Cricetulus griseus: one gene and its partners. The protein of the gene in region 3 purifies or fractionates together with the protein of the main gene of each other region. This does not show direct contact. Links are inferred from orthologs where the notes say so. Each region holds a gene or a part of one and is shown on either strand. Other genes may lie near its edges. The genes, in order: Frs2, Crkl, Sos1 and Eps8.

Evidence for each region.
Region 1: the proteins of Sos1 (region 3) and Frs2 purify together in Homo sapiens (affinity purification with western blotting; 5 studies listed by BioGRID). This does not show direct contact. The link is inferred for Cricetulus griseus from reciprocal best matches to the Homo sapiens genes SOS1 and FRS2.
Region 2: the proteins of Sos1 (region 3) and Crkl purify together in Homo sapiens (affinity purification with mass spectrometry; 3 studies listed by BioGRID and IntAct, with this or other methods). This does not show direct contact. The link is inferred for Cricetulus griseus from reciprocal best matches to the Homo sapiens genes SOS1 and CRKL.
Region 4: the proteins of Sos1 (region 3) and Eps8 purify together in Homo sapiens (affinity purification with western blotting; 5 studies listed by BioGRID and IntAct, with this or other methods). This does not show direct contact. The link is inferred for Cricetulus griseus from reciprocal best matches to the Homo sapiens genes SOS1 and EPS8.

What each region holds. Positions count from the first base shown.
Region 1 is NW_023276806.1:139,240,072-139,243,638, reverse strand, and holds part of Frs2 (fibroblast growth factor receptor substrate 2), read right to left. Parts: intron 1,262-3,567; coding exon 1,103-1,261; intron 713-1,102; coding exon 549-712; intron 1-548. UniProt on the Homo sapiens protein: Adapter protein that links activated FGR and NGF receptors to downstream signaling pathways.
Region 2 is NC_048597.1:71,850,171-71,853,737, reverse strand, and holds part of Crkl (crk-like protein), read left to right. Parts: intron 1-2,369; coding exon 2,370-2,835; intron 2,836-3,567. UniProt on the Homo sapiens protein: May mediate the transduction of intracellular signals.
Region 3 is NC_048600.1:3,606,457-3,610,624, reverse strand, and holds the start of Sos1 (son of sevenless homolog 1), read right to left. Parts: upstream 2,846-4,168; 5' UTR 2,752-2,845; coding exon 2,665-2,751; intron 1-2,664.
Region 4 is NC_048601.1:11,521,959-11,525,525, reverse strand, and holds part of Eps8 (epidermal growth factor receptor kinase substrate 8), read right to left. Parts: intron 1,710-3,567; coding exon 1,601-1,709; intron 483-1,600; coding exon 339-482; intron 1-338. UniProt on the Homo sapiens protein: Signaling adapter that controls various cellular protrusions by regulating actin cytoskeleton dynamics and architecture. Depending on its association with other signal transducers, can regulate different processes.

The DNA of each region.
Region 1 (3,567 bases), on a different chromosome or scaffold from region 3:
ACTTAACAAAAGACAGACTTATCTGATTATATATATTGTTCTAACAAATACTTGGTTCACATTTGAACCAAGCAACTTCAACAGCAGAATCTACCCTTCCATCTGCAGCTCACTGGTAACAAAGACTAAAACACAAAAAGCAGCATAAACTCTTAAACAATGAGAAATGGCTGAGTTTGTCTTTCTTCATCAACAGATGTATCTTTCTACGGACACACAAACTACGCAGAAATTTCTTCAATCTGAGCACTCAGGAGGCAAAAAGGCAGGCAGATCTCTATGTAAGTCCAAGACCAGCCTGGTCTACATAGTGAGTTCCAAGACAACCAGGGCTCCAAAGTAAGACGCTTTCTCAAAAGAAAGTTCCCCTGATGTCTGTATATATTTTGGGAAACACACTGGCAAATACATGCCATTTCTTCCATTGTCAATGCATAAGTAATTCACAGTGGAAGTTAAAATTCATACTGAACAAAAGCTCCAATTGTCAACACTGTGACTCTTTACTCCACTAAACAGTTCGCTATTACACAGTGGCAGTTGCTTACTTGTTCCTCGGCCACAAGCAAAGGATGTGTAGACTCTTCACCGACTGAGGGTAAGCGAGCACTTCCCACAGAAGGATGCCGGCTGGAGGGGTGGGATGAGGCATCTCCAAATGAGGGGTATCGGGGATATCCATTAGGTAAGTTCTGAGCAGCAAACCCTGGAGCTGAGAAAGATGATATGGGAGTAGGGCAGAGAGTAAGAATGAGTGAGACTCTAATCTGCTGGTGAGACATAGAGAAACTAGAGCACAAACAGCAGCCCATCCAGTCTTACTGTATCAGCTAACCGTTCTTTGTGGCAATGTTGGTGATAAAGCACCTGACCCCACTCCCACAAACAAGCATTCTGACACCAAGCTATATATACTCCTGGCTTTTAACTCACATTTTAGGAAATGTGACATATTTAATGTTTTCATCTTTAAAAATGTCTGTAACTAAAGCTAACAGGGATTTTGTTGTTGATCACCATTTCTAATTGTTATAGATTAACTATCCATAAGCTGTATCTTATAAATGTCTGACATGCAAAATGAGGGGGAATGGCTACTTACTTGTAGGTGTTCGAGGTGTTCTAGGGACTTCCAATTCTGTCTGATGACTATTCCTTTCTACAACCGGCTCTTCTACCACATTTATACTGTTATTTTGCATAATCTCTTGCAACATGTTAAATAATTCTTCTGCACGGGCACACTTAAATGCAAAGATTCCTACAAATATAAATCAAGAGGGAAACATGGCAACCATGCCTTTAAAAAGCCATAGAAGTTTGGTCAAGAAAGCAGAGGTTAGCAGTGACTGCAGTATTTATATCAAAGGACAGAAAACAAGCGACTGCTGGATGCCCAGCCATAATCGGGATGTATAACCCTCCAAGACCCAGGAACAGCACGGAAGAAAGGGCAGGAAAATGTCAGACACAAAGGAAGGGCAAGGAATGTATGCAATGTTGCTGCACTCTTGAATTCACAGTAGCTGGGATTATGCACATAAGAACTGAATTTATTAGACCATCAACATACCCTGTCATGGGGTAGGGGAGTTGGCTCCAGGGGGCTTAGGATTTATACCTAGTTAGTGGTTAATGTGGGAAGGAAAGACGTTATCAATGGTGAAGCCAAGGCAAGGTGCCTATGCTCTTGTGAACAAACTCTCACGCAGGTTCCTATAAAGGACTCCAACGACACTCACTGGGATTCTCCCAAATCCCCTCCCAATGACATGAAAGTAGATGGGGACTAACAGGTAAGGGAAAGAGATAAGCAACAGAGGAGAGGAGTAAGAGAGGACAAGAGGGGTGATATGATCAGATTTTATTATATACACATATGAAAATGCCAATAAAACCCATTTTATATATAATTAATATGTGGTGATAAACATTTTTGAAAAGTTGTAAGAACACATCAAAGAAAAAGTTACGAAATAGGTATCTATGGTGGTCTGGGTCCTATAGGCTCAAGCACGTCTAGTCCTCAGTTGTGGAATGTTTGAGTAGGATTTGGTGTGGCCTTGTGAGAGGGAGTATGTCACTCGGAAGGTTTTGGGTGTCAAAAGTCCAGGCCAGTCCAGTCTCTGCTGCTGCTAGTGCATCAGGATGCACTGCTTTCAGCTACTACCAGCACCATGCATTCAAAGCATGCTCCCTGCCACGAGGACAACTGTAAGCCAGCACCCAGTTAAATGCCTTCCTTTATAAGGCTTGCCTTGGTCATAGTGTCTCTTCTCAGCAATAGAACAGTGACTAAGACAGCATCCGAATGCGCCAACAGCAAGAAATAACTTGTGATAAATTACATACGCCTTATTTTAAGGCATAAATCTATAAGGCTCTCAGATAATTTTTGTTTGTCTAAAGGACAATGTTTCAGAGCAAAGCAAATGAGATCTGCACATCTACTCCAGAATCTTGAACAGCAGGGGGAGCCCAGTCAACACTCTACCACTCAACAGGCCTGGCTATGGGCCTTATGATCATGACCGTGTTCATTGTCACAATTCCATAAGACAGGTATTATCATTCCCCCTTTACAAAGGCCCAACAGAAAGCATATAGCTTGCCCAGATCACTCCATTAGTAGGAAGCCAAAATTATTATCATTACTGTTATTACTAATAAATTAATAAAAAAACATGTTCTGACTCCATTGTTTACATTCTTTGCCCAAGATCCAAAAATGATACTTAGCCATTTTATTTCTATGGGGGGGGGGAGTACTTAGTGCATGCTTGATAAATGAATTCATAATTAATCTGTTTTCTTTTCCTCTTTTTTTTTTTTTTTCAGAGAAAGGGTTTCATTGTGTTAACTGTCCTAGCTGTCCTGGAACTCACTCTGTAGACCACACTGGCCTCAAACTCAGAGATACACCTGCCTCTCTGCCTTCTGAGTGCTAGGATTAAAAAGAGTACCATTAGTGCCCGGTCATGATTTATTTATTATGTACACAGTGTGTGGTGATATATTAATTATAATTTATTAAAGCTTGCATGAGGAGTTAGAAAGCAAAGCCAGCCACAAGCTATAAAGGTCAGGCAGTGGTGGCACACACCTTTAATCCCAGGACTCAAGAGACAGGCAGATGTATCTCTCTGAGTTCAAGGCCACCCTGACCTACATAAGAGTGAAAGATAAAAAGGCTCATGCCTTTGATCCCAACACTGGAAAGGTATAAAAGATAGGAGCAGGGTCTTCAGTAGTTAGTCTCAGGCATTGATTCTCCGGCCACATTGAGGAGAAGACAGCAGTCTGACGCTTGGTAGAGCTCATAGAGACAGGATTACCATTTTAGCTGGGTAGAGGTAAGATCTACTGGTTTGGCTGCTTTGCTTCTCTGATCTTCAGCCTGAACCCCAATATCAGTCGCTGGGCAGAACACTATTTGTTCTGCCCAGAAAAGAGCACCAGATCTCATTACAGATGGCTGTGAGCCACCATGTGGTTGCTGGGAATTGAACTCAGGAGTAGCCAGTGCTCTTAACCTCCTTATCACTTTACCCCCCCCCACATCTTTTA
Region 2 (3,567 bases), on a different chromosome or scaffold from region 3:
CCAAAGGGAGAGGGAGGAAGGGAGACAGAGATATAACTGGAATGGCATAGGCCTTTTGAAACATCAAAACCAGTGACAGATCTTTCCCATTGAGACCACACTCCTAATCCTTCCCAAAGGGTTCCACCAACTGGAGACCAACTATTCTAATATATGAGCCTATGGGGGCCATTCTCATTTAAATCACTACAATGGATCAGCAGTTCAGAGCACTGGCTGCTCTTGTAGAGGCCCCAGGTTTGATTCCCAGCACCCACATAGTGTCTTAAAACAGGCAACTCCAGTCTGGGGGCGGGGGTGATCTGATATCTTCTGGACTCTGTGTGGCACAGCACACACACAGTACACAGACATATTTGCAGGCAAAACACCCATACAAATGATGAAATGTTTTTGAAAAATCAATCTCCACCTTTTGTTTTAACTTACTTATTTTGCAAGTGTTTGGGGCACTTTGCCACAGCATGCATGTGAAGTCAAAAGGGTAGCTTTCAGGAGTGGGTTCTTATTTTCCACCCTGATTCAGTCAGATCTCCATGTTTGCTGTTTCAGAGAGTACTCCAGGCTAGCTAGTCCTCGAGCTTCTAGGTGACTCTTGTCTTGGCTCTCATCTCACTATAGGAGTGCTGGGTTATAGCTGCATGCCACCACATGGCAGCTTCTCACAAGGGCTGCAGGATGGTTAAGCTTCAACAGCCAACACCTTTACCCATTGGGCAACACCACCCCCCCACCCCCCACCCCCCTCCCCCCACTCCCCCCCCCCCCCCCCCCGCCAACTTCCTTTTGAGACAGGGTCTCTTTCCAAGCCTGTAGCTCACTGATATGCTAGAGTGGCTGGCCATGGATCTCCTTGCCTTTGTCTTCCCCATGCCTGGCCTTTCACTTAGGCGCCAGTGGTGTGAACTCAGGTGTTTGTGCTCGTGTTGTAACCACTTCAGTGGCCATCTTTCCACCCCAATTTTCCTTCTTTCTTTCTTTCTTTCTTTCTTTCTTTCTTTCTTTCTTTCTTTCTTTTGTTCTTCCAGTGAAACTTCCTTAAAACAATAAAAACAAAAAACAGCAAAGGACTGTTTGGAAAGTAGTTCAACTTGAATTTTCAAAACTTTCGTTAAAATGGAATTTTTTTTGGTTTGGATTTTGGGTTTATTTGTTAAAGAAATCACAAATATGGGACCTTATACATACTAGGCAAGCACTCCCCCTCCCCTTCCCTCTCACGCTTTCTTTTTGAGGCCTTGTCTCATGCAGCTCTAGATGGATGGCCTGGAACTTACATCTGCCTGTTTTGCCTTCCTAGGGCTGAGTTAAAAGCTCCCCTCCCCCCCAATCTTACTACACACTTGACTTCGTTTTCTGTGTTTTTTATCACCTGGGGAGGAGGGTACAAACATGTATGTGGTTAGAGGATAACTATGGAGTTGGTTCTCTACCATTTACATTGATTTTGGAGAGCAAACTCAGGTCATAAGGTTTGCACAGTACACTTTGTACTGCTGAGCCAAGTAACTGACCATGGCTCTCCCTCCCTCCCTCCCTCCCTCCCTCCCTCTCCCTCCCTCTCCCTCCCTCCCCTCTCTTTTCTTTCTTGGTTGTTTTTAAGACAGGGTTTCTCCATGTGGCTTTGGAGCCTATCCTAGCACTTGCTCTGTAGACCTTGCTGCCTTGAACTCCGAGATCTACTTGCCTCTGCCTCCTGAATTCTAGATTAAAAGTGTGCACCACCATCACCTGGCTCCCCCCACCCCCACCCCCGCCCCCCCATGGTCTCTTAGTTTGTGTCTGTTGTAACTAGGGAACTACACCATATGTGAGCCATCAATGAAAAGTGTGAGGAAATATGTCTGTGATGGTTCTAACAAAAGAAGGCTGTATCAAAACTTAGTTTTGTTTTTGTTTTTTTGTTTTGTTTTGTTTTTTGTTTTTTTCCAAGACAGGGTTTCTCTGTGTATAGACTTTGAGCCTATCCTGGTATTCAATCTGTAGACCAGACTAGCCTCAAACTCACAGAGATCCACCTGCCTGCCTCCTAAGTGCTGAGATTAAAGGTTTATGCCAGCAGCACCCAGCCAGAACTTACTTAAAAGTTAAGTAAATTTATATCAGTTATCTGAAACCAAACCTCCAAAATACATTGTGAATGATGGTACATGTGTCCATGTACACACATGACACAAAGTATATTTAGGATATTGTTATAGACAATAGTACAACCAGAATGTACAGTGACAAAACATTCTTAAATTATTGAGAATACAATGAAGAAACAGTTCATTATAGAGGAGGGTGGTTAGTAGATTTGTTTGACAGATACCGATATAGAAATCAGATAAGATTTTTCTTCAGAATAATTGTGTTTCTCTCTTAAGGTATCCAAGCCCACCAATGGGTTCTGTCTCAGCACCCAACTTGTCTGCAGCAGAAGAAAATGTGGAATATGTACGGACTCTGTATGATTTTCCTGGGAATGATGCTGAAGACCTGCCCTTTAAAAAGGGGGAGATTCTAGTGATAATAGAGAAGCCCGAAGAACAGTGGTGGAGTGCCCGGAACAAGGATGGCCGGGTTGGGATGATTCCTGTTCCTTATGTTGAAAAGCTTGTGAGGTCTTCGCCACATGGAAAGCATGGAAATAGGAATTCTAATAGTTACGGCATCCCAGAACCTGCTCACGCATATGCTCAACCTCAGACCACAACTCCTCTACCTACAGTTGCCAGTACTCCTGGGGCATCGATCAACCCTTTGCCATCCACACAGAATGGACCTGTCTTTGCAAAAGCAATCCAGAAGAGAGTACCTTGTGCTTATGACAAGACTGCCTTGGCATTGGAGGTAAAAATCTATCAAGACTGGCCTTTGAACATGGGTTTTCATTTCTAATCTTAAGTTAGCCATCCACTTAAAGTTACTTGTGTTCTTGGGAATTAGACTGGGGATTTCAAAGGATGCACTATTAATGTCTTGTCCTTTCCTAGTCATCATTTCAGTCCAGGTTCCCAGCCTGCTTGCTCTCTTTTCTGCTCCCAAAGCCTCATAGGTAGCTGGTTTTCTTTCCAGCAGGGAAAATGATAATTAGAAAGACCCATTACCTATGAGCAAAATTAGCATTCAGAGATAACAGTGCTACTTGTATAAATCCATATCTCCAACATTGTAATTAAGGAGCAATATAAATAAAATGTCTTAAAATTTAACTAGGCAGAGAAAAGAGTTTAAAATGTATCGCCCTTGCTTGTTACAGATTTTGCAAATCATAATAGTATAAAATAGAACTTGAACATTGTCAGTGTCATCTTGTTTTTGTTTTTTTTGGGGGGGTCATCATTTGGGGAGGGCCTAGGCCCTCCTCCATGTGTCTAGGCTGAACGAGTAACACTCTATGGGGAATGGGCTCCCAAAGTCCATTCGTACACTAGGGATAAATACTGATCCGCTACCAGAGGTCCCATAGATTGCCCAGGTCTCCTAACTGACACCCATGTTCAGGGGGCCTGGTTCCATCCTATGCTAGTTTCTGAGCTGTCAGTCTGGGGTCCATGAGCTCCCCTTATTCAGGTCAGCTGT
Region 3 (4,168 bases):
AGAGGCAGGGATGACTTCAGAGTTTTGAGCCAACCAAATAAAATTCTAAAGCCATTAACCAAGAAGTTAAAAACTGGTGGGGGCGGAAGAGGGGTAGTTTTATTTTGAGTATCCCCTTACGCACTTGGCAACATTTTCAAATAACTTTAACCACTGGCAAACTAAAAGTAACATACAAAGGCTAAAAGTTCAAACTGCCAAACCAAAAGCGGGAAGACAGTTTGAAGATTTACTAAGTCACAATGTTGCTTTAGGAGCTTTTAAAATGTAGCAACATTTCCAAATAATTTACTTTAACCTTTGGCAAACTCAAAGTAACACACAAAAGCACTTGTTCAAAATGAATCCTAACAGGTGTCAGGCACAGTAGGATAACATTCCTATTCTCTGGTTGGGAATGGAAAGCATGGATAGGTAAACTGGAACTTAAAAGGCACTGCTGCGTTAGGATAAGATGCTAGCATGAAACAATGGAGCACTATCCAACTCAGCCCTGAGGGTTTGGGAAAAATCTCTGAGATTGAGTAGTATTAGACCAGATAAAAGGAACAGTCTGTCCAAAAAGCCTCCGGTAAGAAAAGGCATAGTTAGGCATTATACAAGTAGTTTAAAGTCTGAAGAAAGAGTTCAAGATAAGGACACACCCACACAAAATGTCCATGGACACATCTACATGAAATGCCCAGCACATAGATGATAATTCAGTAATTTTAAGATACAAGAGCATATTCAGATTATGAAAAATATGTCCAAGCTGTCTTAGGTGTCTGAAGAGCATTGTAGGTGAGAATTTAAATGAGAAGAACCTTACATGTTAGGAAGATTCTATAAACACATCACTTCTGCAGGGATACCTCTGCTTGAAATGGAAAACCAACCAACCTGAGTAACACTGTGTTAAACTGGAAACACAACACTTTCTCAAGAAGGCAGCCACTTACAACTCTAGTAATTTACTGTTGTGTGAAAATGGCAAGACTGTCTATAACTCAAGAACAAAATAGGAATTCAGCCTATGTGATACTTTTCATTTAGGATAGTGGCAACTAATTACATAAATTAAAAAACAAAACACCACAATGACAGCCAAACAAATGTGTCTGTGAATAGATTTCACCAAGGGCCACCCATGTGGCAGGTTAGAGAGGTCTGCCAACTTCTACAATGCACTTTCCACCACTTCAAAGGGTTCTCAAGTGTTATTTTTGAGCTCCTTGCTTTTAAACCAAATACCCCAAACTGGTAATGTCCTGTGAGGGCTTTTATACATATAAATCAACTCTTCTCTCTCATCTTGTCAAGATACCAAGCTTCAAGCATCTTGAGGCACACTTCTCCACTTCTACAAGCTAAGCAGTCAAGTGTGCAGGTAAACCAATGTAAAAAAAGACGGAGTGAGGCCTCATGGGATCATTAATGAACAAAGTATGCACGACAAGGTGGCCTCTTTGATTTCCATAGAAAAACACCACAGAGGTTTGTAAGCAGTGAGACACTTGAGGATAGAAACCAGTAACCTAAATATGAAAAATAAAAACAAAGTCTTCTGGCAATTTCCACCGTAAGATACCAACAGGGGAAGGGATGAACAGGGCAAAGGAGAAACTAAAAGTTGCTAGCCTTTGAGGACTATGAAACACCTTTCAAAACTCTCTGGTATAATAAAAGCCTCCACACAATGGTACAGTAAACACTCTCAATTCTCAATTGAAACAAAGCTGTATTTTAGCAAAGATAGCTTGAAAACTATTTGAGCAACAAGAAATTTAGATTAAAACTACTGAAAGAGTAAAGCAGTTTTTACAGGTAAGGCAAATGTGAGCAAAAACAATCCGGTTGTTTTAAAATCCACTCAACCACCTCTGTTTCAGATGTCTTACTACAGAATCTACTAAGTAACAATGTTGCTTTGGAAGCTTTTAAGATTTAGTCACTAGCAATCTAAAAAACAAAGGCTAAAAATTCGAAATGCCAAACCAAAGAACAGACTGTTTACAGTGTTGCTTTAGGAGCTTTTAAAATGTAGCAACATTTTCAAAAAAAATTTACTTTAACCTCTGGTAAAATCAAAGTAACACACAAAGACTAAAAATACAAAGCGCCAAACCAAACAAGGGTTCAAAGATTCTCAGACTCCCCAGAAGAACCCATCTGAACACAGTGGCATGTGCATCACCCCTGTAATGGGGCTGGGGGAGTGTCAAAAGGACCGGGAGTTAGTGACTGAAGGCGAGCAAAGCCAAGCAGGCCATGTTCTTGCTGGCAGGCTACCTCGCAATTACTTAGGCAAGCACTGTGGCCAGGGCACTCTCCAGCCAGTAAGAGCGCACTGGACTCCCAAAACGGGAGGCTGACCGCAGCTCGCTAAGACCGAGACGGTAGGCAGTGGCCTTCTTTGACCTCCACGGTAAACCGAGGCTCCTCTAACCGTCGCCTCAGCGCTTGGATTATCGGGGCCAACCCTCCCCAACTGTGTGTGGCCTTCCCACGCACGCCGGGCGGGTGTCAACAGCTGGAGCAGCCGGGCGCGGGGAAGATCGCCGCCTGCACGGTCCTCCCGGGGACCCTGCCGACCAGGGAGAAAGACGGCGGTGCGCGCCCCGCCTCCCCGCTCTCGGCCAGCCCGGCGCGGGCTGCGGCCGGGAGCGGGCTCGGCGCTCCTACCTTTTTCAGCGCCGGCACCAGCAGCCCCCGCCACTTGGGCGCGTTCTCCTCGCTGAAAAACTCGTAGGGCAGCTGCTGCGCCTGCATGGTGCCCGCGGGACGCCTCGGGGCGGGCGGAGGGGCGGCGGCTCGCGGCGCGGCGCGGAGCGGAGCGGAGCAGGGCCGCAGCCCGCGCACAGCCCGGCCCCTTCGGGCGCCGCGCGGCCGGGCTAGCGCTGGCGAGGCGGCTGGGGGCGAGGCCCGCCCACCCACCCGACACGCGCGCCGGTCGCCGAGAACCAACGCAGCCCGACGGTGGCGGCGGCTGCATCCCGCACCACCGCCCCGGGGCAGGCCCCCCGCTCCGCCCCGGGCCGCCCTCCGACGCCCGCAACCGGACTGCGCTCCCCGGCACGGCCTGGGCCGCCGAGAGACGGCGCGTGGAGGGACGCTCTAACCGGTGGCTCCCGCTGGCCTGCGGGGAAGTCGAGCGCGAAGCTCGGAGCGGGGCGGAGCCCGGGGACCGGGGTCGGGCGGAGGCGGGGAAGGGCCGGAGTTCGCTGCTGGGGCCGCCGCCGCCGCCGCCCGCCGCCGCCGCCGCCGCCGCGTGTAGCGCTGGAGCTTCCTAGTAGCAAACTGAACCTGCCCGCGACTGAGCATGCGCCGCCGGCCCAGGCCGGTTCGCTCCGGGTTTTCCGGCTGCCCGCGGATGAGGAGGGGCGCGCGCAAGAGGCTGGGAGGGCACTGCAGGGGCGGGGCCGAGGGACCCTGAAGGCGAACCCGGGACCGAAGGGCCTGGGTGTGTGTGGGGCGGGGGGGGGGTGAGCAGGCAAAACGCCCCCTTTGTGTGGCCCCGTAGGCCCGGAGCCCATGCCGCTCCAGGAGGTCCTAAGACCCTGGGTCTCAGAAAGGGGTGTGTGTACTTTGTTCCCAGCATGAAGATAAGGAGTGCCCTGAGCATGCACTGTATACCAAACAGATAGCACAAAAGATAGGTTCCGTCTCACAAAAACCTCTGCTCAGTATTTGTCCGGTGGGAGGAGAGGTCGTCCTGTTTCCCTCGTCCTTTCCATAACATGAAAACGTGTATGTGTAGTAGTCATTGATCGCGTCTACTCAAACCCACAGGCCACATTTACGGGCTTAGTCCACCCTGCTTTGTATCTTTCACGGCTTCAGTTGGATAATTAGCTTCTGAAAGGAATGGTTTATTTTTTCTTCTGGCACACGACCCAGAATAGAGACATGAAGATCCCGGAACGCTGTAGAAGCAGTATCTACAAATTGTCCTTCCATCCCAGGGATGCAGATGTTTGTGACAGTGGCATTGTGCAACACTGTGGCACGTTATGCTTTATCATTGAACGCTTTCCGAGTAAAGTGTTTTAGTTCTCAGAGTTTTAATTTCATAGTTGAGAAGACAGTTCGAAGAACCAGCCTGGGCTCAAACTGACATTATGTCCTGCTGTTTTGGAGTACAATAAACAAGATCTCACAGATGAAACATGTTTGAAACCAGTGTTCT
Region 4 (3,567 bases), on a different chromosome or scaffold from region 3:
TACTAGACTCTGAAGGTAAGGGCTGCCAAAGATGGAGTTCTACCCTCCGGCGGTCTTGGGGCCACGTCAATGGGCAAGGAGAAAAAATTGTATCTGTCAGAAATACCATAAATTGGTATAAAAAAGCATTCAGAGGAACAATAACTTATTGGTGGACACGTAACAGATTCCTTAGGAAATGAATCAGAAAACACGCATAGTTCTCTCTCTCCACGCTGTTCTTCAGTTGCTCTCAAAAATGTAACCAGCTCAGTCTCCAAGTGATTAACACACAAAGGCACTTGATTCCTGTTCTTGGAAATCTGTGAATGTCACCTTTTGCTCAGAACCCAAGTTACCTGTATGGTGTGTGTGTATGGGGGGTCGGCACGCCCCACTCCGGATTCCGGGGGTCTCACAATATCCATAATGTTATTTGGCACAAACCCAGAGTCTCCACTGGCATTCCGAACTTTCCACCATTGCTTCCTATCATCAAGTATCTGTCATTAGGCAAGGAACAAAAGAGAAATTTTGGTAACAAAACCCACTCACGGGCAAAGTTCAAATTTATTTCTCAATCTTTTGACTTCTGATAATGACCTGAGTATGAACACATGAGACTGAAATTCTTAGGAAGAACATGAAGCCTTATAATTATTGATATTTGCATAAAATAGTGACTATGACTGCAGTGGTGGCACACGCCTTTAATCCCAGCACTCGGGAGGCAGAGGCAGGTGGATCTCTGTGAGTTCGAGACCAGCCTGGTCTACAAGAGTGAGTTCCAGGACAGCCTCCAAAGCCACAGAGAAACACTGTCTTGAAAAAACAAAAACAAAAACAAAAAAGGGAGGAGAAGCTAAATAAGATTATATAATATAATTAGGAATTTGTTTATAAAACATCATTAAATATAGCAACACTGCCATGTTGAAAGTGTATGTTCTATTATTTTTCTATAAAGTTCTTGCTCACAATACATAAGTAGTTCATAAAAATAACAGTTTTTTTTAAACCAAAAAAAAAAAAAAGTGACTTTGACAAATCTGCCCCAAGTATATACTTTGTTCTCGAAATGTACCTGAATCATTTGAGGTACTCAAAGAGCAATAAGATGGTCATTCTGGAAAGGTCTATTGTTTCCACAAAAGGGAAAATATAAAAACTATTTTTAACAAAATGCTTTGTATCTATGCAAGGAAATATACTGTAAACTTAGCCTAAGAAACACTACCCTCGACATGATGATGTCTGTGCAAGAATTCTCAGAGAGGAGGAAATGTTGTCTTTGACTAAACTGTCAGGATTCCTCTCCACTGAATTTACAATTAGCCTTGCTTCCAAAATGAATAAACCCCAAAGAAAGACAACAAGGCAAGCCAAGAAATCACTTCCCTCTTCCATAGTGCTCTATGTGTCTCTTACTTGAATGCTCAACACTATTATGGGGTCACATAAACTAAGTAGCTAATACTTCTAAAGAGATACAGATGCCCAGGGTGCGGTGTGTACAAAGAGAGAGTTCTTGGTCTTGGTTTTTCTTTCAGAGGGTTCGGAGACACATTAGAAGATACAGCAAGCTTGCTGTCTCAGAGGAATGAGAGGTGAAATCGCTTACCTCTAAAACTTCGTCCTTCAGGACCGAGAGCTCACTGCTGTTCCTTGCCATGAAGTCATACTTGGATTTGGCATATTTCTTAGTTTGTGTTTTGACTGAGTCATGACTTCTAGAAAAAGAAAGGAAGAACTCTGTCATTCCACCAGTTTTTCTAAAGCCTGAGAACAGAAGTAAACATGAGGGCCAGTCCACGCTTTTCAAAGGTAGGAAAACTAAAAGGCACCATGGGGTTCTTCCTACTAAAAAAGAACAAACTGGGGCTGGGAAGATGGCTCAGGAAGGGAGGACACTGCTCTTGCAAAGGGCTTGAGTTCCATTCGAAGTACCATTGGGGGCTAACAATCACCTGTAACTCCAACTACAAGGGACCCAACATCTCTTTCTGGCTTCCATGTGGCACACATATAGAGATGGAGAGATGTTTTTTGCTTTTTTTTTTTGAACAAACTATTGCACAGAAAAAAAAAAAAATGATTCCAAGGTACTGGTTGGTACTGAGTCAAATCTAGACTCTAACCTCAGACGCTATCTATTAAACACACATATTAAGGTCAGACATGGTGATATATGCCTAGAAGGCCAGCATGTGAGAGGCTGAGGCAAGAGGACCAGGAATTCAATGTCATCTTGGATGACACATCAAGTTTGAGGCCAGCATAGACGATGTGAAATCCCATTTCAGAAAGACTGAAAACAGTGCACACGTGAGAGAGTGACAATGGATGAGTGGAATTTACAGAAGAAAGACAATGCCCACAGCACAACTTCAGCTACTCAAGCAACACTTCAAAACCAACTAAACACATTAAAAATTCTGTCTACGGACCATTTTAAGGAGACCTTTGCTTAGTTACCAAAAGTACAAGGGAAGGGATCCCTCAAGTATATAGCCAGCAGCCTTCTCAAGCAAAGAAGGAAACACACTTATTTTGCCATAAGCTTTTTAAATTATAATAACTGATATATGGGGCCTATTTTTTTAAGTTTATTTTCTTTGAAAATCAAATAATTCAGCATTAACAGATTTAACAATGCACTTAAATTTTTTTAGATGAATGATGCATTAAATAGTATTTATTATTTCCTTCATATCTGGAATAATGTTTCGACAATAAAATGATAATGCTGAGTCAGAACGATTTTATTCCCAACCTCCTCCAATCACCTATTTATACTTCCTCACAAATCTCTACAAAAAAAGTCAACAGACACAGACCAAAGATGGTCATCCATCCCGGTTTTTGGGCATGCTGAGTCATACCTGGGCCCTCAGAGGCCAGGTATGCAGAGATAGGGTGACCCTTCATCACAGACCTACTGTCTCTCAGACTCTCGTCCCATCAGATATGGGGGACCAGTACAAAGAAACTGTTGTAAGCTGTACCGACTACAAGCCATTTTCACTACATTAAAATAAAAAGTAAAATTATGCCATTGATTATTACACATTATACATTTTTGTTTTGCTTTCTCAGATAAGCTCTCATATTGTAGTACAGGGCAGTATAGAATTCATTATACAGCCCAAATTGGCCTCAAATGCATTGTCCCAGAATCCTAAGTGCCCAGATTACAGGCATTAACCAACACCTGGCTTGGTATCAATACGTTATGAATAATCATATTTAAGGCCTGTTATTCTTGAATTCTATATCACTACCTCCACTGTGGTAGTTTTGCCACTTATATATTATATATTTATAGCTTAAATATTTATATTATATTATGATTACTAATGTATATCTATATTATATAACATATTTATATTATATACAATAAAGCTTATATATTATATAATGCTTTATATAATAACTTAGTTATATAATACATAACATGTAAGATTATATATTTATATTAATATTAAGATTAGGCATATTATAATATATGTGGGAAATATGGGAATAAAGAGATCCACCCACCCCAAATGTTAGGAAAATAGCAATTTCAGTTCTTTCTCTTTCTTCCCA